Linked DNA regions of Coturnix japonica. The protein of the gene in region 1 purifies or fractionates together with the protein of each later gene. This does not show direct contact. Links are inferred from orthologs where the notes say so. Each region holds a gene or a part of one and is shown in the gene's direction. Other genes may lie near its edges.

Evidence for each region. The genes of interacting proteins can lie anywhere in the genome.
Region 2: the proteins of SNAP29 (region 1) and STX18 purify together in Homo sapiens (affinity purification with mass spectrometry; 3 studies listed by BioGRID and IntAct, counting the BioPlex papers as one, with this or other methods). This does not show direct contact. The link is inferred for Coturnix japonica from reciprocal best matches to the Homo sapiens genes SNAP29 and STX18.
Region 3: the proteins of SNAP29 (region 1) and STX7 purify together in Homo sapiens (affinity purification with mass spectrometry; 3 studies listed by BioGRID and IntAct, counting the BioPlex papers as one, with this or other methods). This does not show direct contact. The link is inferred for Coturnix japonica from reciprocal best matches to the Homo sapiens genes SNAP29 and STX7.

The regions. Positions count from the first base shown.
Region 1 is NC_029530.1:56,122-64,434, reverse strand, and holds the start of SNAP29 (synaptosomal-associated protein 29), read left to right. Parts: upstream 1-3,477; 5' UTR 3,478-3,630; coding exon 3,631-3,831; intron 3,832-5,129; coding exon 5,130-5,326; intron 5,327-6,329; coding exon 6,330-6,415; intron 6,416-6,759; coding exon 6,760-6,867; intron 6,868-8,225; coding exon 8,226-8,313. UniProt on the Homo sapiens protein: SNAREs, soluble N-ethylmaleimide-sensitive factor-attachment protein receptors, are essential proteins for fusion of cellular membranes.
Region 2 is NC_029519.1:71,355,702-71,363,510, reverse strand, and holds part of STX18 (syntaxin-18), read left to right. Parts: intron 1-687; coding exon 688-765; intron 766-876; coding exon 877-943; intron 944-2,652; coding exon 2,653-2,768; intron 2,769-5,860; coding exon 5,861-5,949; intron 5,950-6,959; coding exon 6,960-7,018; intron 7,019-7,438; coding exon 7,439-7,508; intron 7,509-7,809. UniProt on the Homo sapiens protein: Syntaxin that may be involved in targeting and fusion of Golgi-derived retrograde transport vesicles with the ER.
Region 3 is NC_029518.1:51,551,162-51,557,946, forward strand, and holds the end of STX7 (syntaxin-7), read left to right. Parts: intron 1-1,944; coding exon 1,945-2,046; 3' UTR 2,047-3,343; downstream 3,344-6,785. UniProt on the Homo sapiens protein: May be involved in protein trafficking from the plasma membrane to the early endosome (EE) as well as in homotypic fusion of endocytic organelles. Mediates the endocytic trafficking from early endosomes to late endosomes and lysosomes.

The DNA.
Region 1 (8,313 bases):
AATACAACAACAAACATCACCTCTGCCTTTCCGTGCACTGCTTTCTTCTATCCATTGGACTTTGGGAAGTCCCTTTAAAAGCCGAAGGAGGTAAGGAACCACATTATCTTTGTGCTAAAAAGCAAAATATTACATTTAAAATGGAGACAAAATGCTGAAGAATATCATCCCAAGGTACTTAAAAGGAGCGAAACCACACACAAAACTCCTTCTAACAATTACTCCACATACTTCTTGTATATGCAAAACAAATTTCAGCATAGGCAAAGGATCATAAACAAATGAATTCAGTGCTATAAACTCAAGCATTTCACTCAAATTAATAAGTTTATTCTTGATAAAAGTTGGGATTAATTAAGTTTCTGGATCTTCTTTCTCCAATTAATGTACTGATTTTCAGCAAAGTCACAAAATAATTTCATGGCAGTTAGACTTCTAGAAATGCCAACCTCTATATACTCTATGAGACCCACCCTATGGCCTTGTACAAATTAGTCTGCACACCCATTTAACAAAATGGGTGTGTTAAATCTACAAATCAAGGGATAATATTTTCCTTCCTTACAGACCTGGATTAATTAAAACTGAAGGCTTTGAAAACATTACAAAAATGCTAAGAGGAATGAATACAATTGCCTTAAGTTTCATACTACAAAAAAAAGTCTACTATGCATACAAGCTGAATCACAGGTGGAAACACAGGCCAATTCAAACCCTAGCGAAACTGAAAAGCACAAAGAAGTCTAATGATTTTGGACCCTGGAGCCAGTATATATTTCCTTTCTGTTTTAAAAAACAATACCACATGCAGTGCTGGAGGACAAAAAACAAAACAAAACAAAAAACAGCTTGTCATAATTAGATACAACAGGGATGCCTGCACACAAAGTCAACTATATAAACTGAGTGTCTGTCACGGGTTACCTAGATTTACCTGTGCCCGTGACAGGGGCAGCTGCCCCGTAGGGCCCCCGGCCCGGAAAGGAAGGGAAAAGGGGAATGGGAAAAAGAACAGCAGCAGCAATCTAAGGAGGAAAAAACTTGTTTTACTAAATACGACATCAGAATACAAGATTAATCCTAGCTAATGCTAAGGCATAATGAGGCTATTACGAACCTGACAGTACGAATCATGCTTCCCCTCATAAGCCACTTCCCTCGTTTACTACCTCAAATTCAATGCTATGTGGTTAATTCATCACCTACCCTTTAAAATTTTTACACAACTGCCTCCGTCTAGTCTACCACCACCTGCAAGCCCACATAAAACTAATTAATCTTTTCTGTCTCTCCTTAATCTGCAACGATCATATGCATCAGTACTGTTCTTGTTTCCTTGTCTCTCCTGCCTGCTCCATCTTTTATTTCTGACCTTTTATCATGCCAACTTTTAGAATAAATAATAACAATTTTTCATTAATTGAATTACTGCATTTGAATTAATCCAATTCAAGTTCAGAAGAGGAAGCCTAACAGAGAAAATACCTGAAGATCAGATTCAATTAGAAAGATTCCCAGAGCAATCACAGCATCTCTGCGACGTTCATCGAGCTGAAAAATTCCATGGAAATCCACTGGACACATACAGAGTAGTTTCTGTACCTGAAGAACAGTGAAATGAAAGAACGATGGGGAACAAGGCCAAAAAACAAAGAGCAGTGCAAAGAAACCAAACAAATGAGCGTTAGGACCATCTTTCAAAGCAACAACAACAAAACACAATAACAGAAAAACAAAACCAAAAAAACAACTCAGTAGACCTTTGAATTTATTTTTTTTTTTTTAAGGACCATCTCTACTCATCACATCCATGTCCCACAGCACCCCAAGCAGAAGTCAGGGCTGCACCAAAACACATGCAAGTATTTTCACAGCTCAGAATCAGTCTTGGAGGCTGTGGATTTCAGCACTCATCCAGAGCTCCTGTAATTGAAGGGGACAGTGCTCTTTCCAGTTCCTGTAGGACACCCAGCTTGGCCACATTCCCCTCCTTTAAGCATCAGTGTGTGAATGAAAACATCTAAGGCCCAAGAAAAAGAAATGAGTAATAGATACCGGGAAAATCTACAACTATTTGACATGGGTTGATTTCAGTTTCCTGCAATGCTTGAGTCAGCTTCTTTTTGTATTTCAAAAGAATTTCAGAAACTTTTCAAAGCATCATAATTACACAGCTCACTTACTGATATCATTTAACTCCTACTGTAGTTTCTCATACTGAAGAAAAAAATTAACAACAGGTAACAGGGAGCAAACAGCAGGATATGAAGAAACAGTGCTCAGGGAGGTGGTGGAACCATTGTCCCTGGGGATATTTAAAAATGTGGAGATAATAGTATCATAGAATAACTCAGGTTGGAAAAGGCCTCAAAGATCACCAAGTCCAACCGCAGCCTAACCATAGCACCCTACCTCCAACAACCCTCTGCTAAATTGTATATCTGAGCATCGCACCCTAACAGGCTCTTAAACACATCCAGGGACGGTGACTCAATCACCTCCCTGGGGCGATGTGGCACAGAGGGGCACAGCTCAGCGGGCATGGCGGGGCTGGGCTGACAGTTGGACTAGACTGTTTCAGAGGTCTTTTCCAACTATAATGATTCTATGATTTTATGATTTGCAGCTAGGTGTATGACCAACAACAGGACTTCAGAAAAACTAAATAAAAGCCCTGTAGCACCTGGGTGAGAACAGCCACGTACAGCAGTTGTTGGTACAGAGCTGTGCCACCCTGCGCGCAGGCACCAAGCTGTGATGCCGTCTCCTCACGGCCACAGCTCCAAGCGGAGCAGAGATCACAGCAGAACGCCTCCCTAGACTGAGACCCTCCTGCTGAGTTCGACATTCGGCAGATGTCTATCTCAGCAAATAACATCACTCTGACTTCACCAAATGCTGCACTCGCGACCAGCTCCCACAAGGCCAAGACCAATTACGCCCCACGAGCCCCAGCCCGGGTTTCGTCAGCGCGCAGCCCTTTCGCCGCAGGCCCACGAGAGCGCCCGGCCGCCCACGGCCAGCGCTCATCCCGCAGAGCCACGCACTGCGCGGCGCTCACACGGGCACAGCCGGGCGCTCTCCCTCACCGCACCCGCGTCTCATTCGCGCCCAGCTCCCACCCGCGCGACAGCCCCCGCGAGTCACACCCCCCCACCTTCTCCAGCGGCGCCGGACTCTGCACTGCCAGCGACCGCGCCAGCGACAGCACCGTATTGAAGTAGAAGCCCCGCGCGGTTCCCACGCCGCTCCCTCGGCCCGTGCCCGCCGAAGGAGCTGCGGCGCCGCCAGTGGTGCCGCCGGTGGTCGCGGCGGCGGTCGCGGCGGCTGCCGCTGCTGCCGTAGCTGCCGCCGCTGCCGCCGCCGCAACCGTCGCGGCCGCCATTGCGTGAGAGACGTCAAGGAGCGGCTGGAGACCTCTCGCGAGAGCGCCCGTCTCGCGACATTGTGGATCGCCAATCGCGCCGAGAAGATGGCGGCGCCCTGCCCGGAGCTCCCCGCCCTGCCCGTCCGCCGCAGAACCGCCCTCGCTGAGCGGAGCGCTCGGCCCGCCCCGGGGAAGCGGTAGTGCCGCCCAGTGCGTGCGGGCGGAAGAGCGAAGGCTCCGTGAGCGGGGTGTGGGGGTTCGCCATGTCGGTCGCGTCGAGGAGCTACAACCCCTTCGATGAGGACGAAGAGGAGACGCGGGGCGGCGGAGAGGTGCGCGGCGCGGAGCGGCAGCGCTCCCTGCAGCAGGAGGTGCTGCGCCGCACGGCCGCCACCGCCGACAGCACCGCGCGCTCCCTCTCGCTGCTCTACGAGTCCGAGCGCATCGGCGTGGCCACCTCCGAGGTGAGTCTGGGCCCCTGCGGCACCGACCCGGCGGCGGGGCCGCCCCTGTTCCCGGCCCGGGCTGTTCCCTCCCGCCGCCCCGCGCCGTTGTGGGTTTTGGTGCTGATGTTTTCCCGTCCTCTGGGCGCTGTCGTTGCTTCTCGGCGATCGGCGTCTCAGAGGCAGCACGCCCCTCCGTGTCACGGTTTGCTGCTGGTGAAGGCTGGTTTTTAAAGCGTGAAATCCCAGTTAGATTCCTCTTACACTGAGAGCAGAACTCAGCCGTGTCAGTTTCTTACTGGGTTTTATTAACAGTGCATATATACTTAGTTTTCAGCAGCTCTCTGATGAAATAAGAAGTCTGCGTGCTTTGTTGTCGATTACGCTCTTGGTTCCACCTCTGTTAATCATTTCCTTAATTCTCACGTGCTTGTTTTGGAGTGCAGTCTATACTCAGACATCGCTAACGAGGGCCTTGCTGTGATGTCATCCGGTAATTGGGAATTTGCCTGAGTGCTGCACCGTGACTGCCGGGGTGGCTCCAGGAGCAGTGCTGGGGGCAGCTTAGCGAGCTACAAATGGCTGAAATGAGGGACCAAGAATTGGGCCTTAGCTTAATGTTAATGGTAATTCTGGAGTTCTGTAGATAAACGCAAGTCCTTGGTTTTGCATTGGCATTAGCTGAGGGCACGTCTTCTGTCAGAATGAATCTTTGGATTGGTTTGGCGTAATACCACTGAAATACAAAATAACACAGCTGTGCATACCAGGATTTATAACTTCTGCACCGTTAGCATTACCTTAAAACTAATCCTGCAGGAAGAAAAAAATTCTAGCTCTATTTACTTTCTTTAACTAGTCTGTTTATAAATCATCTGGAACAACCTAGCAATATGAAAATAGCATCCCTTGTTAATTTCCAGTTTCAGAACTAGACGTAGTTTTTATTTCCCTGTTGTAAACCTTTGCATTTTCACTACATTGTCCGTTAGGTGCAATATTTGTTCCATCAAGAAGCAATACAAACTGACAGAAGGCCAGCATGGGAAGTGCCTGAATCCCTTTTGTAGTACATACCGAGAAACTGGTTGTGCAAAAATTTTGTAGCTGGCCAATGCTGTACCTTACTGCCAGCTTTTCACTGAAATGCCCCAGAACAACAGGAGTGAGTGAAAAGGCTGCATGACTTTAGGAGTAGCCTGCATAGTTCATAGAGGCTTTTTTTTTTTTTTTTTTTTTAAAGCACGTTTATTGAAATGCTTGATGTTTCAGCTTACCTTGGCTTTACTAGCTTCATTTTATCTGTCAATATCCATTAGGAGCTCGTACGTCAAGGAGAGGCACTGAAGCGTACAGAACTAATGGTTGATAAAATGGACCAGGACCTGAAGACTAGTCAAAGGCACATAAATAGCATTAAGAGTGTTTTTGGAGGCCTGGTTAACTACTTTAAAGCCAAGCCACCTGAGAACAAACCAGAACAGAATGGGATGCCTGAATATTATGGCAACAGTAGGTAAGTAAAATGAAAATTTTATCAGGGCATGATGCTGTTTTCTTGGGTTCAAGCAGGGGAATTACCTGTCATCAGAAATCTTCTGAGAGAATCTGGATCTAGAGCAGTTCTTCTAGAGTAAGCCTTGAAGTGGGACGCAGTGCTGTCATATACTCCTCATTCTGTTACTAGGGTCTTGGCTGTCTACAATGTGCTCTTTGATCCCTCTCCAATTATCTGATTTTAAGAAAGAGAGTTTCTTCTGTTTCCTCACAGCATCACTAGTTTCATTCATGTGTTTTTCTCCTGAGCTCCTCAGTTAGACCATTTGCTTTTTTTTTTTCTTCCCCCATAACATCTCTGAACTGTCACCAGAAAAATCAGAATTAACAAATAATGTATTGAATCTGTAAACTCCTGAGATGGTGTCTGGTTCCCTTTTTGCTTTAACTCTGAAAAAAAAAAAAATCTTATATTTCTAACGGTAACAATAACTTAAGATTTTTATGAATTTATTCACAAGTTATTTTTTAGAGTCCCCTGGATCATCATGCTTTATTCAATTGTAGTAGGAAATCATGATTTTGCAGCGTTGGCATGCTTCTTCTTAAATACTATGCATCTTTTTCAACTTTATTTATTAAAAGTTATAAAAAGAAATGAATTACTATGTCTTATAGTACATCTGTGTCTTCAGCTGAGAAATTTATGTAAAACATGGTAGTGCTGCATGGATTGATTTTCCTGCTTCCCTTTTTTATTTTCAATTAGAGGAAAGGAATAGGTTGCCTTCAAGACTGCAGATGTGGTTTTGTTCTTGATATCAAAGCTTACGCTATTTTCAGCACTAGAGCAACTGATTCTGCTTTCACTGAAGATGTGATAATAATTATTTGTAAAGGGACATGTTGGATCATGTCTAGGAAGTTCTCTTTTGTTGGATAATTTTAATGTCTGTTGCTTTTTAACTGATTTAGAATGAAACCTTTGATCTGTAAGAATGCTTTATTCTTTCTATTACCAGATTAAAAGAAGCAATGATGTCTAGCAAAGAACAAGACTCAAAATACCAGGAAAGTCATCCAAATTTAAGGCGCCTAGATAATTCAGGTTTGTTTATTTTATACTAAATGCCTGTCGTCAAAGTGGAGGGAACTTGCTCAGTGGTGAAAGTAGGATCAACTGCTGACTTGTGTTGCTGCCTAACTTCTGGAGACTGGTATCCTCCTAGCATTCCCAATTTGTAATTCTCTAAGAAATGCTTTCTGATAACATCAATATCCATTATGTTTCACGTAACGTTATGAGCCTGTCCAACAGAGGGCAGAAGTGACTCGCTAGTGCCTTTACCTGAGGGAATGCTAAATGTACATGACATCTATATTCAAATTAAGTTTTGATATCTTTCCAAAACACAATTCTTCTTTATTGTATACTTTATTTTGTATTCTTAGCAGATAGTGATTTCAGCAACATAGATTCAACTTCTCCAGTGCAACAGGATACCTATCCAAAGAATCAATGTCTGCAAGCTTACCACAAAAAAATTGATAACAACTTAGGTAAGTGAGAAAATTGAAGCTGTTTGACATAGTACAATTTTCAGTTTTTTTGTTCTCAACCCAGAGAAAAGTAATATATTCGCAATAACTTTTTTTGTATAATTCATGTGAGCTTTGATATTAAAAAAAAAACAAAACAAACACAAAAACGCTTGAAGATTGTCTTTGCAAATCATCTGCACCAAAAGGATGAGTCCTCTTAGGTCGAAAGCAGTCTTATTAAATGTGAATGTGCAAGCAAATGTCTGGTCTTTGATGAGGAAGTGGTGCTGATGTATCCCAGGATAGGTTAATATTTCTTTGAATCATCCTGTAACTTAAATATCATTAGGATAGAATGACAAAAACAAAACAGCCTTATTAAGATACTAGTAGTATTTAAAACAGTAATGATTCTACTTGACATCTGGATTAGAGCAGTATGGTACTTATTACCTCATTATGAAAAGTTTACCAGTTATCTTGAAAGATACATTGCACTTATCAGACTGACAGCTGTATCATGGATGTGTTAAACTGTACATTGATTTGGAACAAGAGAACTTAAAACTGTGTGCAACTTTTGAAATAAATATGTTTTGCAGAAAATAGAACAATTGAAAGGTTCTAAATAATTAAATTGTGTATTTGCTGCATTTTTTTATTACTTCCAAAAACATTCAGCAGGCTTTCTCTTCTTTTTACTGTAGTGTATATACACTAAGTGCCACTTTGCTTACATGTGTCACTATTTAGCAGACCCAGAAAGAAGAGACTGGAATGAAATCAGAAAGGAGTAAATCAGAGAAATAATCAAACGTAAGAGTTAGTGGAAGCACATTTGTTTTACTCCCAAATCGCTCGAAACTTACGAGGTTCAGAAGCATCTGTACCAATCGGTCACACAATAGCATAGTTTTCTTGTAGTCAAATAAATTCTGGAAATTTAATTTTCTCATCTGCGTTAAACAATTAACTGCTTAAATCTTCAATACATTTAGAATATCTCTGCATGCAGATCAGTTGGGAAAAAATAGCTTATAGTTAATACTGAGCTGAGAAAAGATACAGTCCAGTTTTCAACAAGATCTTTTAAAAAGTGAAAACTACATTAGAGGGTGTTTCATCATAAAGATTGAATTTCATTTTAAGCATTTAACTTGTAATGGAAATAAAGACATGATTACTTTCTGATTTTAATGCAGAAGTAGTGTTTAAATTTTGCTTCTTGCATTATTAGAGAATACTTGGACTTAAGCAGTTGTAACTAATATTTTCTATCTCAAGGTTTTGGAAGAGAGGAAATCCTGGTTGTATCCATTTAAAACAATATGCTTTCTTCTGCTTTGAATCCTTATGGTCAATCTCTCCTTTGACAGATGAGATGTCTTCAGGGTTGAGTCGTCTGAAAAATCTAGCTCTTGGTCTGCAGACAGAAATAGAGGAGCAAGATGATATGCTGGATCG
Region 2 (7,809 bases), on another chromosome or scaffold:
TTGTAAAGAGACTGGTAAAGCCTCATTCCTCTTTTGTTTCACCTTTATAATCCTGTTGACTGAGTAGAACCACGACTGCTTCTTTTATGCAAGTGAAAGGATAAGCCAGAGCATTGAATGTTATTTGTTTGTGTGCACTAATTAACAAGCATGGTGTGCTTTGTTTTCAAATAAAAATGATAGTCTTACATATTTACTGTTTAGTTACATAGTTGCACTATGGCATAGAGGACTGAGTCAAAGCTCAGTGACAGTCTCTTTCTATGGTGTCCACCTATAACATTGTACAGGGATACTCTTTCCAAGTTTGAGATCGTTAAGTCACTGTGTAAAATGGAATAACATCCCTATCATTACATAAACTCCTCAGAAATTATCTTCAACTATGGATGTTATCTTGAGTTGTTGGGTGTAGCTCTTAACATTTTTAACTCGAACAGAATAAACCCCAACAAAGCAAATCAATATTTCTTAATATAATAAAAACATCGTGTAATAGTGTGTAATAATAATGTACAGATTTACAGAACCTATGCTTAAATATAGCAATGTTGAAAAGAGTTGTGTAATATATATAAAATGTTAATAGGCATTTGGATATAACTTGTGTATGATCTGAAAATGCAGGCTTCTGTGCAATGCAATAACCAATTAGAAGATCATGTTGTATCTTTCTTTTCATTTCAGCACACAAGGACATCCAGTCTGCTCAGGTGAAGGAGCACAGAACAGCTGTCTTAGACTTCATTGAAGATTACTTAAAAAGTGCGTAGTATTTCTTCTGCGGCAGTGAGTGCTTAAAAACAAATGAGTGTATTTTCCAAGGAGGAAATCATGCTCTCCTAACCTGAAGTTTTTTACTGATCTCTCAACTAGGAGTGTGTAAGCTGTATTCAGAACAAAGAGCCATCCGAGTTAAGCGGGTGATAGATAAGAAGAGACTGTGAGTAATGAGCTCTCGTTGTCAAAACATAAGCAAAACAGATTAGCCTGTGCCTTTAGCTTGTATGGCATTTAGCAAAACTTCTATTCATGTTTAGATTCTAAGGAGATTGTTCTAGATGGAAATCTTTAGCTGGGTGAGGAACTTTCACTATCAGCAGGTGCATTCCAGGGCTCTCTTATACTTCTCGTGTGATAATGAAAAAATGCATTTATTCAGAAGTAACTTAATCCTAGTGCAGAACTTCTTCCTGCAACTTAGTGTAAAATATTTGCTTATTAAACAGTTCTGAGAGGTTTGCAGTTAGAATACTCTTTATCGTGTTTACTTTTACACAGCTGAACACCCAAAGCTCTTCAACGAGTGACTGGAGTGGTACTGTTGTCTTACATAATGGGCTGGTTCCATTGGGGTGGTTCGGATTTTGATTATATCCTGAATTAATGTTTTATAATGTCAGAATTATCATTTTAACAGCATGGACATCCAAATAAGTTTTTTTGGGTTTCTTTCTTGGTATTCAGCAAACTTGAGCAGGGAGGGAGGAGAAATTCTTCAGTGTTGAAGTGACCAGAAATCAGACTTGTGGAGTTTTTAGTACTAATAAATGCATCCTGTTATTTTCTCCTTGTTTAAATAACGTCGTCAGCCAGCGATGACTAATACATTATACTGTTTTTCTTAGAATTTTCTAATTATGAGTTAGAATTCAGACGCAATACAAAGGAGGAAAGAAACAAAATGCAACACCTTCTGTTGAGCAGCGGGAGAAGATTGCGGATCATAATGAGATTAACTGTTGATTATATTTGAGAGGGGAGGAAGTGATGAAGGTGGCACAGCGTGTGATGCAGCGCGTTATTTCTTGGTGGTTTTCTGCTGTTGTTCTTTAGCTTTTCTATCAGCGTGATTGTTAAGCATTTAACCATCTACCAGGTAGTTACAGAATTCATAGTAGACAACAGTAGACCTTGAAGGCTTACTAGAAAAAACAGTATGTAGCCACTCATAGTGAGGAATCCTTGACAAATACAGAAGTGCTGATGTAAGCACTGAATACGCTTCTCCTTTTTTAATTGCTTTTGTATTAAAATTACATAGCAGTGACTTAGATGGAATGTGTAGCTGACCATTGCATACGGTTTTTCTTTGCTTTGCTTCTAAATGGTCTGTTGTCTCTTGGCAGACAAGGTAAGGATCACTCTCATCCTGGTTAAGCTGTTCCTTACAGCTAGTTAAATAAAATAAGCCTGTTTCAGGAAAGAGCTATTTCTGCTATATTTGTGTACTTCTTCCTTATGATAATTTAAAATATAAAGTAAACTAGTAGATGGTACTTGAAAAAATGAACTGGGTAAGATGGCTATTTTTTAGTTAAAAAATGTTATAGTGACCAAACTTTGTATATTTTAATATGATTATTTTTGACAGGAACTTTAACAAAATGTCTGGTTTTCATGCTAAGGCCTTCAAAATTCTTCTCAACTCTGAATATGTGATTTGTGTTGTTCAAGATTACGTGCTTCCTTTGCTTTTGTAATAGTATTTCAGTGAAGGTTGTTAAATCCGTTTTGCATTTAGACTGGGAAATCTTCAATGTGAAGTCTGCAAAAGCAGGTTGGAGTGAGGTGAATTTAAGAAATCTGTGATTTTTCTTAGTTTAGAGATGCACTTGCACTCAATTAAATTGCAGGCTCTTGTGCTTGTAGGTCCAAACTTGAACCTGAGCAGAGCAATGTGTCCAAATCAGCTCTTTCTCCTGAAAAAATTTCACAAAGTTCTTTAGATGAGTCTGAAGAAAAACTTTCTGCAGAGGAAAATAAAGGTAAGAATAAAACCATTACAAGCCTATTCCCGTTCCTGTAATTCGCACTTTCCTGTTTTCTTCTTCCCTGAATTATTTCTTCTTCATGGCCACAAGTTGTATCAGAAGAGGTTTAGATTCGACATACGAAGGAACTTTTTCTCTCAGAGTGGTCAGGCACTGGAATGGCTGCTCAGGGAGGTGGTGGAGTTGCCATCCCTTGCAGTGTTCAAGAAGTGCCTGGATAGGGAGCTAGGAGACATGGTTTAAGGGGTTTTCTGTAGGTAAAGGGAGGATGGTTGGACTAGATGATCTTGTAGGTCCTTTCCAACCTTGTGATTCTATGATTCTTGGTGTGCAAAACCACCTAACCTTACTGGTGTTCTTCATTGTAAGGAATTTCAAAGAAAGTTAGCATGGTTTCTCCTATATATAATTGGCTGACAATTAGCATTAGTCTGCTAATCTGTTGTTTATTTTTTATGAAGAGTGAAGTTTCTCTGAGGAGTGACATGTAGGTCCTACAAAGGGTGGGCTCATATGAAGGGGGTACTCCATTTCTGAATGAAGACTCGAATATTGAATTACCTCACTACATACAAACTTTCTTTTTCGATTTGGTATTTGCTTATCTTTCTAACCAGTTTGTAGTGCAGCCCTATTGATACACATTGGGTTTTTTCCTCCTCTCAGGAGGCTGAATTTACTATAAGAGGTAAAGGTTTTGATGAGGTGTCATTTCTAGTGCTTAGTGTCTTGAGAGATGCAGCACACAAGCACATGGGTGAGTTTCACCTTAACACCTTATCAGTATGTCGCAGCTGTGAGTTTGTACCAACAGCAAAGGAGCACAGCACAATAACATCTGCAGAGCTCAGTGCTTTCCTCATTGTCGAATGTTTCCACAGTCTCTGAAAGCATCACACAAAGCAGCACCGCAATCTTTAGCTCAGAAATCTGTGCCACACTGTGGGAAGAAAACACTGTTCTGTGGTTGCTTTGGACACAGCAAACCACTGCAACAAATAGAAACTAAGAACAGTTTATTACACATTTTGTTTACTCCAGTTTTAGTTCCTACTAGCTTACCCCATAGTTTTGTATGAGAAGGCAGCTAGACATATGGGTCTGGTTTCAGAAGTGATGCTGATGTAGTGCTTCCAATGGGGGGTGCGGTGCTTCCAAGGGGATGCTGACCAGTCTTAGAAAAAAACTAGGAAAGTTGTATGTTAACATAAATCTGAAATAGACTAGAAGTGCACAAAATGTGCATTTGGTAGCTCCTGTCCATAGAAGTCAGCCTTGTAGCTTCACTGGTAGGTGCTTGTTGAAGCTTGTTGAAGGTGCTGGTCCTGTCCTTAATTTTAACATTATAATGAGAAACTGAGTGTTCTCCTTGGAGTACCAGGGCACCACTTGGGTTTTGTCTGGTGTTTCAGCAGGTATAAACCAAAATGGGACACTTCTGAGATAAAGCACCTACTGAGATAAGGCACCTACATGCCTTTGTGGTAGGAGAACAATCTCTCTGGAGACATGCTCTGTTGGCGGTACCATGGTGACTGAATGCAGCTCTGAGGAGATGTGTCTTTCTCACTTGCCTCTTACTTGGGTATTTACTTATTAGCAGTCACATTGGATAACAGGTGCTGGTTTTAACAGTGCTGACAGTGCCTGAAAGTAATTGGTTCCTCTGGGATAAAATAGGAATATTACTTATTTCTTAGCTCCGTAAACTAATTATCTTCTCTTCTTTGAATTCAATACATTTTGATATAATTTAGAAATATTGATCAGGTAAACAAGTTTTGTCTGTGTGAAATAGATTGGAAATACTGATGATGCCCAGTGGACAAGATTGGGTTGAATCCTTTCCATACAATCTTTAGAAATGCTCTTGTTTTTCTTCCTTATTACTTGCAAGAAAGAGCAGCTATTTGATTTAAGGTCCATATCCTTTGTTTGTAACATTCTCACTGCTTGTCCATCCTGGTTTGAGGACCAGTCTGTCCCCCCCAGAAACCAGCAGACCAACTAGAATAAATAGAAAACCTGAAAGCCGTAAAGAAATGAGAACTAAATCTTGCTGTATTTTAATTTGCAGGGTAAGTTAAAGCAAGTTCAAATCTGAATTCATTTGCAGCTGGTGCAGATCTCTGTTTTGGGCTTTGTAATAATGCCTCTGGGGGAAGGAGGCCTTCTCAAGGTTGCAGTGTTAATGTTAGGAGTTTAAACCAATATTAGAACAGCTTCAGAAGCAGTAGGTTCCTGTTGTAAAGTTCCTTTTTGTTCCCATTCTAACTTCCTCGTCTATAATTAGAGGTATATAATTAAGCCTAAAAATAAATCTTCTAGAAGGGAATATCCTAGAAATAGCCATTGAAGATGTTTTATGCCCAACTCCTGCTAAGATTTATGCAGATGATTAGCTTCAATCAAAGGGAAAGTGCTGGTGAAATCAGTGGAGCAGCTCTGATGTGTAGGGCTTATTTTGTGGGTTCAGAACTGACTCTGTTACATGCAGGAAGGCCCCTTGCCCAGAGTGCTGTGGGATTTGCTCTGTAAAACGCAGCCTGAGCAATGTGAATAAGTTGGATTTCTCTTGTCAGCGTAGCTCAAAATGTCTTTGGGAGTCTGTTTTTACATTTGTGGAATGAGGAGCTGGTGGTTCTGTCAGATCTCATTGGGAGATGGTAGCTCTGCATAGAGACTGGCATTTGGAACATTGGTTTAGAATCATAGAATGGCTTAAGTTGGAGACCTTTAAAGATTATCTAGTTAGTTCCAACCATCTGCTGTGGGCAGGGACCCCCTGGTTTTGTTCTTCTAAATTCAGGTGCTGTGGTATATTCTGCCCTATTAAGTCTCGGTCCATTGTGAGTTGTTTTACATACTCCTCATAGTCCACAAATTCCCATGTACTTGTCCATCTCTGCCCTGGTTTAAAAGTTAAAGGCCATTGGTGTAATTCTGTGCTATAACTGTACGCTCAATCTCAGTTAATGAGAAATGCTATCTAACAGTTTTATCAGAGCTCAGAAATATTGAGAAATGCTCATTGCTTCGCTGCTCACTGTCCTGCATTGTCTCAAACTCTGGTTGTTCTGTTACAGACAGGAATCTGCCCGACGCTCAGTCTAACCTTGGGCTATGGGGGGATGGGAAAGGTGAAGACGAGCTGTCACCTGAAGAAATACAAATGGCAAGTATGCACTTATCTCATTGTCCATTTCGTTGTGCTTCCTGCCATGTCCATATGTGCGAAGTAAGTTCAGATTTACACACGTTCATTTACAGCTTCATCTGGTTTTCTTGCGAGCTGAAGCGTCGGGCATTAGCTCCAATGGTGAGCAGGTCCTACTGCAGACCCAGCCTGACCTGTGAGCAGTGCCACTCTGCTCTGTCCCAAACAGGACACCCAGACCATGCACTCCCCTCAGCCACCTTGACGTGCTTATTCTGTTAATTAAATTGTAACTTGATTGAATTACACCCAAATCCCAAAGCTAGTTCAAACTAAGTAGATTAACAGCAGTAGAATTGGGCTTGCTGTCTTGCACAGATCCAATGTCAAATACTTTGGGATTTTAATCCTGTTTTCTGGTATTTGGGCTGTGCATACCACTCAAGATGTAGAAGTGAAGCTTGTTAGAGCACATGCTAAGTAAGAACTTAAAGGTAGGTGAGTCCTGTGTGCTGCTTCTGTGTTATCACAGACTGGTCTGTCCTAGATTGTGAGAAATATGCATGAGATAACTGAAGTCAGGCCGTTGCATTTGTAAAGCACAAAGTACCAGATGGCAAAATGCTTCGTAGTGTAGTGAAATCTAAAAGCTGTAACTTCATGCTATGGGTAGTACACGAGTGAGGTGAATGGTGTTATAAAGACAGAACCACATGATGGGAAAGCTTCCCCCATTTAAATGTCTGAAATAAAAAAGGACGAGCTTAAGGCAGGACATTTTCCTTAGTGCAGAACTCTGGAGCCAACTGTAGGTTAGTATTGGGTCTGGTTCATAACAGGAGGGCAGTAAGGACCATTACAGTGTTTGACGATGGATGTGAAGGCTCATATTGTTCGTTTAGGCTGACGGTGGTAATTCTGGAGGAGCTTTGTGAAGGGGAAGGGTGGGTGTGTGGATGGGGATGGAGAAAGTTCACTGAGTCCAGGCATGTGAACCCCAATGAGACTGACTGTCTTCTCTCTTCCAGTTCGAACAGGAGAACCAGAGGCTGGTTGGGGAGATGAATAACCTGTTTGATGAAGTCAGGTACGATTTGCTGTTCCTTGATGCTGTAACCAAGGTGATATCCATGCACTGTGACTCACCTGTGAGGCACTGTGCTGTGGGGATCGTGATGCTGTAGGGAGGGAGGGACAAAAAGGGAATGTCTGCTGCTGTGTGGTTTGCTGATGAACTGTATGGATTTACATGTTATGCTCTCTCACAGTGTCTCTCACGGGTTCCTAAATACACATTAAATGTACTCAAAATAGTACTGGTTAAATGTGGAAGGTTTACATTTTATCCATCTCAGTTAAGTTGTAAAAGATGAAGTTTTCCATTCAGAGTGAGTCTGTTGCATATACAGTGCTGGGGGAGGTGCTTGTCCAGCTGGAGAACCTAAACCTGCAGCAGCAAGAAACGCTTGTGTGAGCTTCTAATGGAGTGTTTCTTTTCTTTGCCAAGGCAAATTGAAGGAAAAGTGGTAGAAATTTCCAGATTACAAGAGATATTCACTGAGAAAGTCTTGCAACAGGTGAGTAAAACTGGATGTTACTGTAGCAAATACTGCTTTAAGGTCTTCCTGGTTGTGTTTTGCTTTTGGTTTTATGCAAGATTTAAACACAAGATTAATGACTTTTTGACATAAATGTGAAGGAAAAGTTTGTGTAGGGTTTCCTTTTTAAACCAAAATCCAGGATGGTAACCACTACTGTTACATACTGGTGTATTCTGGAAATGGAAAATGTAATGTGTTAGACTGAAAATGAGCGTCCTGTTGAGTGTATTATATAACAGCAGATTTCAGACAGTTCCAGAAGAGCCATCAAAAATTC
Region 3 (6,785 bases), on another chromosome or scaffold:
AAGTCTTCCTTCTTTAGTGAAAATTAGTCCTAAGATTTAAAAAACAACAACAAAAAAATATTAATCCTCTTATGTGTATTAACAGTAGCCAAGTTGGTAAATCAATGACAAAATATCTGAAGGATTGCTTGCTGATCTCAGAAGTGGGAGGGAAAAAGGGTGGGCATGTCAAACTGTATGCTAGGTGGCAGTAATTAAGTATGACTGATGGCTATTTTGATACTGACAAAATTGTGGAAGAAAAAAAGATAGCAACAGTTAAAATTTTCTTTGGAAGGTGTCTGTTTTGGGGTGGAAATTTAACATGAAAACCTTTGCACTGATTCATCTTAAAAGGGCAAGGATAAGTATTTTCAAGGTTATCAAGTTTTTGACAAGCTCTTGTTTCATGCATCTCACAGCAGAGACCAAATACTCAGCAGAGTTTGCTTGTGTTAGGAGGGACTGTATAGTTGACTTGAAATTTGAACTTGCCTTTGCTTGAATGCTCAGCTTTGTTCTGAGTATTTGAAAAACCATTTAATATATCTGTGCTCTTACCCACTTAGGGAACTGGTAGAAGCTTAGGCATCCTACTGAGAACTAGGTTTGGTTAGTGCTCTCACAACTCCTTTTTGTGAAAGTGTTCACCATCCTTTTGCCCTGTGGGATGTGTTCATGGAGCAGAGCTACTGGGGCAAAGCCAGGCTTGTCTGCTCTGTTTCTTTCCTCCATTACTGCCGCTGCTTTATACTTGTGGAAATGATCATCAAGTGTATAAGGAAATAAGAACTCCATGTCTTTATTCCACTACCTTGCCTAAGTAGTGTTACAGAGAAAATGTTTGACTTTAATGTGGTGTTGGTAAAAAGTGCTCCAGGATGAAAAAGGAAGAAACTGGGAGTATTAAGATTTGTAGGGAGACAATCTGGCTGCAAGAATGGGACCCTAGTAGAAGGTTGAATGCTAGCAAATGAAATGATCAAACAGCTAAGGGGCAGAGATCTCAGTTTGAAAATGGGAGAAGTGAGTCAGCAAAACTAGCAGCAGAGAATATCTAAGACAAGAAAGAAGCTTGGTGGCCTGCATGGTATTGGGCAGAGACCAGGCTCAGCAAGGAACTGGCACAGATGTAGTCCCGCAGGAAAAACAGTATAAACAGTGATATAAATCTTTGCTAAAAGGAGAGCAGAGCCTTGCTCTGCCTCTGGAGCTGTGAACTAGATTCCCAAGATTTGAGTGTAATTATTCTTTGACTACTAGCAAAAGCCTGCAAAACCCATTAGTAGAGTGTGTTATTTTCTGTCTTGCTGCTTGAGATAAAGGATGAGAATCTGTTCCTAGCCTTGGTTGCTTTGGCATCTCAAGTTACAAACCTGTGTGGGAGATCTGAAAGTTTTGAACATGGTCTTACACTGCATTATAATGACATCTGTAGAGACTGAGTCTCTTTAAGTTGTGTTTTGTTGCTCTTTAAGAGCAATTTGAATGTAATAAACATAACAAAAACAACTTTAAAATAACTGAATTGATGCAAACTCCACCTTGAAGAAGTCTAAGAGATCAGTTCTTTGGGGCTACTGTATATACATTTATACTTTTAAAATATCTTTCTTTTTCCAGAGAAGGTCATTTCTACCTCCTCTACTGTGCAGACCGATTTTCCTATTTACAAGGCCATCTGCTTTCTGATATTTTCTTTTCCTAGTGTTTTATTTAAACACATTCAATATGTTGCTGCATTAATATTTGTGCCAGGAAACACTACTGAAATCATTTTGTTGATTAATACAGCCAGAAAATTAAGTCATGGATTATTCTTTCCTTTAATTACTTTATATAACTTGTTTGTAAGGAGACAGTTCAGTTAGATTTCACAAGCAGGAGGGCCATAAAAACATTTCAGTTGTTGTTTCATCTTGTGGTGCAGTTTTCAATCAATTTCTTTTTCGTCCTTGCTTACAGCAAAGATCCCGAAAGAAGATGTGCATCCTCATCGGTATACTTGTTGCTGGAGCATTGATTCTTGGAATCATCATCTGGTTTTCTCTAAATAAACATAATTGATACTTAAATTATGAAAGGAAACTTCTGCGGTAATGGTTTGCTCATTGTGAAGCTCAGTAAAAATGATGGTTTTTCTGTACTTCATCACACTCACTTTTTTTTTTTATGAGACTTTGTTTTAACTTGAGAAATAACTTTCTCAGTAATACCATAACTGCCTGCTCTCTTGGACGTGAGTGCTGCCTTACCAGTAAAACCAGTCAGCATCAAATACTGTTCCGTTAACTTAACTTAAAAACCTCTTAAGGGTTAGGAGATTAATCAAAATCTTGATAACTTGTGAAGGAAGGGGGAGTGGGATGGGATTATCACTGAGATACTGCTAAATGTTATTTCCAAAACAAACTCCTGAATTGTTGCTTGAGGCAACAAATTCACAAGTTGGAATTTAGTCTTAAGCTAATAATGTGCTTCTGTCTTTTTCCCTTCCGCCTCACCCACCTGCCCATTTGATATGGGTGGTTCAAAAACGTGACATAGATGTGAAGTTACTGTGATCTCTTTTTAACTGAAGTCTTCAAATTAAGCCTTCAGTTTGCCTCTAATCTTTCAGATGCTTAATGTATCTCTATCTGGCGTTAAGTCTGGTTATGCCTGGAAGACTCTGCGAAAGTAGATAGGGTGGATGATATAATTATTTGGATTTCTTCTTCGAGTTTTTCCATTAAGAAATAAAGTGTTATGTGCATATGCCTGGTATCTTCGCATCTGAAGTGTTTATCGGTGAGCTTGGCTAGACGAAAGTAAGCTCGAGTCTGTGAATTATTAAATTTACTGGGAAGAATAGAAATTTCCAGCTTCCGAACTGCACTTGAATGTTACTGTTCTGAAACTGCTGTGTTTCAGTTTCCATGAACAGATCCGAACTTATATGTAAAGCCTTTCATACATCTGAAGAATAGATTACATGTTAAATTCCAAGTTCAGTGATATTTGAAAACAAGTTCTTAATCAGTTGAACTTACTCAAACTGCTTAAGAATTCTGATGCTTATAGCCTTTAAAATGACCTTTCTTTTTCTTTTGTGCCATTTTGTACTAATGTATTAAAAATGTAACCAAACACTTTTTTTGCCAATTAATCTATATGCATTTTTAATTGATGCTGATGAACTAATCTAGAAAGTGTACAGATGGAAAAATTCAATTTGTATTTTATAAGGATCTTGTACACTAGACTGATAGAGAATGCACTGTTTACATGGTGAACTATGAAATGTTGCTTGGAAACAATCTAAGCAAAGGTGGACTTCAGAATTGTAACTGTGCAACCAAAATAAAGGTCTTTTAAAGTGTTACATTTTTTCTAGTACTCTTTTCTTCTTTTTCAGGATTTGTCTATATAAACCTAAGTGTTGTCTTTGTGTAAATGACTTGAATTTCTGTCTAGTACTGAAGAAAATTTCAGCTCTTCTGCTGTTCCTGTGCTAACATTTGTATTGTTAATGGAAACTCTCAGATCTTTTCTCCCCAACTCTGTGACCCCAACCTTAGGAAAACAGGTTGCTTTGCTCTGTATTTCTGGTGACACAGACATTAAGTTATCCTTTGGCACAGAGACAGGAATCCGTAGTGTGGGAAGGAGACTTATGCTGATGTATTTGGATCCCAAAAGCAAGGGAGGAAAAACTGTGTGGTTATAACCTACGTAATGTGGAGGAAAGCCTCTCAGACTGCGAGTAAGTTGTATTATGGATGTTTGTGTGTTGGGTTCCCAGCTACAGTTTTCATGTGACTGCCTTTGTGCTGAGTGCGAAGCTGGGACTCTACTTACTCTTTCTTGTTAAATAACCATCAGATTTAATTTAGACCCCTGCCAGCCATGGTAATGCTACCAATTAGTGATGCTAATACTTTGATTAGGCAAAAAGTGTTATGGTGTTTCTGTGCTTTGTTTTGTATTTAGCATGTACACCCTGGGAGGGGGGAGTAGGAGAGGGATGGTAGGGCCATAAAGACCCTTCTTTAAGCTGCACTTAATGGAGTTGCTCTCTTTCTGCCTTTTCCCTCACGTACGTATTTGCAGTCTTAATTGTATAAAATGCAGTTTTCAAGCATTTAAAGAAAATGTTGATAGTTGTTAAGAACCTTAAAAAGAAAAACAAAACATCTGGATATAATATGTGTGAGGCAGTGTTCTTAGAAGAAATGTTTTGGCTGTTTGAAATTATCCATCAGTATGGGAGATTAGCGAGGCCAAAGAAAAAACATAAATGCAATCAAAGCACTCTTCATTTTACTGAAGGAACCTGGTAAGAATAGTTCCTTTGTAGTTATCTTAACCCACTCACCAGGGGTGTCTCTTTGTTCTTTTCTGCCTTTTCAAAGAGCTGAAAATCACAGGGTCAGACAACTCTTTAAAGATTTTGTGGTAGCGTGGATTGTTTTGCTTTTCACTGCACCTTCCCCCCTTGGAAATTGTTCCTGATAATCAACAGGGTGTATGGTATCACCAAACCTCGTATCTAAGCCTTCTTACGTCACATATGAACTCCAAACGCCTATGTAGCTGGTCACTAACTTGGTCTGTTTCAAAGATCAGTTGTGCTGTTGGGTATCATTGGAAAAGACTTGCTTTGCTTTTATTTAGTTCTGGTTGAACCTTTTTGGTGTTTTCAGGAGACTGATGAGTTTTGAAGGAGGAAAGAGCAGAAAGCTCTTGTTTGATGTTTTGCTATACATCAGCACCTGATCACTTTGTTTCTTAACCATACCTGCAGCATTAAGTGGTGCTTCAGTGCATAGTGTGCAGCTTTCGTTTTCAATTTGCAATTAAGCACAAGCATCATAACCAACATTGCTGTGGGGTGGGGTGTAATTATTCTCTGATGAGGTGCCCACCTGCAGAGCCATCCTAGATGTGTTGCAAGAATAAATACCTGAAACTCATCAGCTTTCAGACATCTTCCTGCTTGTGTGTGTCTCTGATATTGCTCTTGAAGCATGCAGATAATAGAGTATTCGTTTAATTCTCTGCGTGACCCAAATGAATTCAGTGATAAAAGAATCCAAGTGTTTTCATAACAAGATCTCTACAAATGCAGAAATAACTAGAAAGAGTAACAAAATGTTCAATTTCCAAAGACAAGTTGTATTGCCTCAACTGGAATACCACTGGAGCTTATGAAAGAGGTCTTCACACTCAGAGCCACAGCATGGGCCACTGCTTCAGCTTGCCCCGAGTCCTGCCTGCAGGGTAGACCTTTGTCTGGAAAATGTGAGTAGGCACAAGCTGACACATATTTTCTGCTTTAGGGGAGAACATTAGGAAGCAGCTTGCAGAAAGGATAGTTAAATATATTACCTATCATCTGCGTCGTGCATGCTCCTACCCACCCTCACATCAGCTTGAATGTGCTCTCTGCAAGGAGGAAATGGAAATCCAAAATTAGTTTCCTGAAGCTTAGCAAAAGAGAAGAACCTTTATGTCTCTTTCTTCAAGTACTTCAGTGCCACAAAGCATCACTGAAGTAGCAAAAAATATCGTTGTCTGTTCCCTGACAGCTTTTATTCAGCCAGATAAAGAATATATAAATACAATCATGGAGACCAGCCACTATGTTGTCAGAGAGAATTAGGTTGAAGAAGCTGGGAAGATTAGAAATGCTTATTAAAAAGTAGATTTAAACTGTCTTTGTAAGGTGACAAAAACACAATGAGGCTAATCTTATTCTATGTCATACTTATTTTTGATGTCTTTAGCAAATCAGTCTTTATTTAAACTAGTGAAAGGACAATTTTAAGCAGACAGAAGCTGGAATATTTGTCCCTGATCTACATGATTTCTATTAGTTGCTAAGTTAGTTTGTAAATCAAGCAGAGAATTGTGAATCTTTCCAGGAGTGATGAGCAGCTGTCCTCTCACACAGAAGCTTTTTTTTTTCCACTGCAGACCTACAATGGTGTCCCTGGAAAAGGACAGGCTGGTACCTGAGTGGCCTGGCAAAAGCACTTGAAAATTAATTTTCAAGTCTCAAGGCAATAGCAGGTTTTTTATTTGAAGCAAGGGATACTCTTGAACACCAGCCACTGCAATCCATGGCACCATATGGAATTGAGTGTCAGAGCACCTGTGGAATCTGAAGTTACAGTGAGAAAATGTGGATGGGATTACTGGAAAGAGCCTTTTGTGTATCTCTCAATGGTTGCGCAGATGAATGTGGGAACAGCACTACAGTGCCTTGAGATGAGTCAAGAATTTCTTCATAATTCCATCTGTAGAAGTTTCTTTCACAGTTTTGATATCCATTGTTTTCGATAAAGTGTGGAAATTACCTTTTCCTAATCCCTTTTGAAGTATATAGCTTCTGTTAAATATATTTGTAATATAAAATCTATTTTGAGGTTAATTTGGGATTTACTTCTGTTCCATATAAATTGAGGAGAGTGGGTTATATGCTCTTCTGATTAATACAGAGAAAAAAAAAAACTTTTGGGGGGTTTTTGTTGTTGTTGTTGTTGCTTGTTGCACTGATTTCTGTACAGACAGCTGCTGGAAGGATTTGCACTTTGACATGATTCTTATGAACTTCAGTTTTGGACAGATTGTAGCAGTCTGTGTGGACAGAGATCCAGCCTTCATCTGGCAGCCCATACAGGTAGAACCAGCTTTGCCTTAAAGTCATGCCAATTCATTGTGCTAATTCTCTTTCTGACAGTAAGGTCAGTTCGGTTCACTACATGATTATTGTGCAAGGTAAGGAGTTCAAGACTTGGAGCAAACGTTCACTTGGTGTCAAA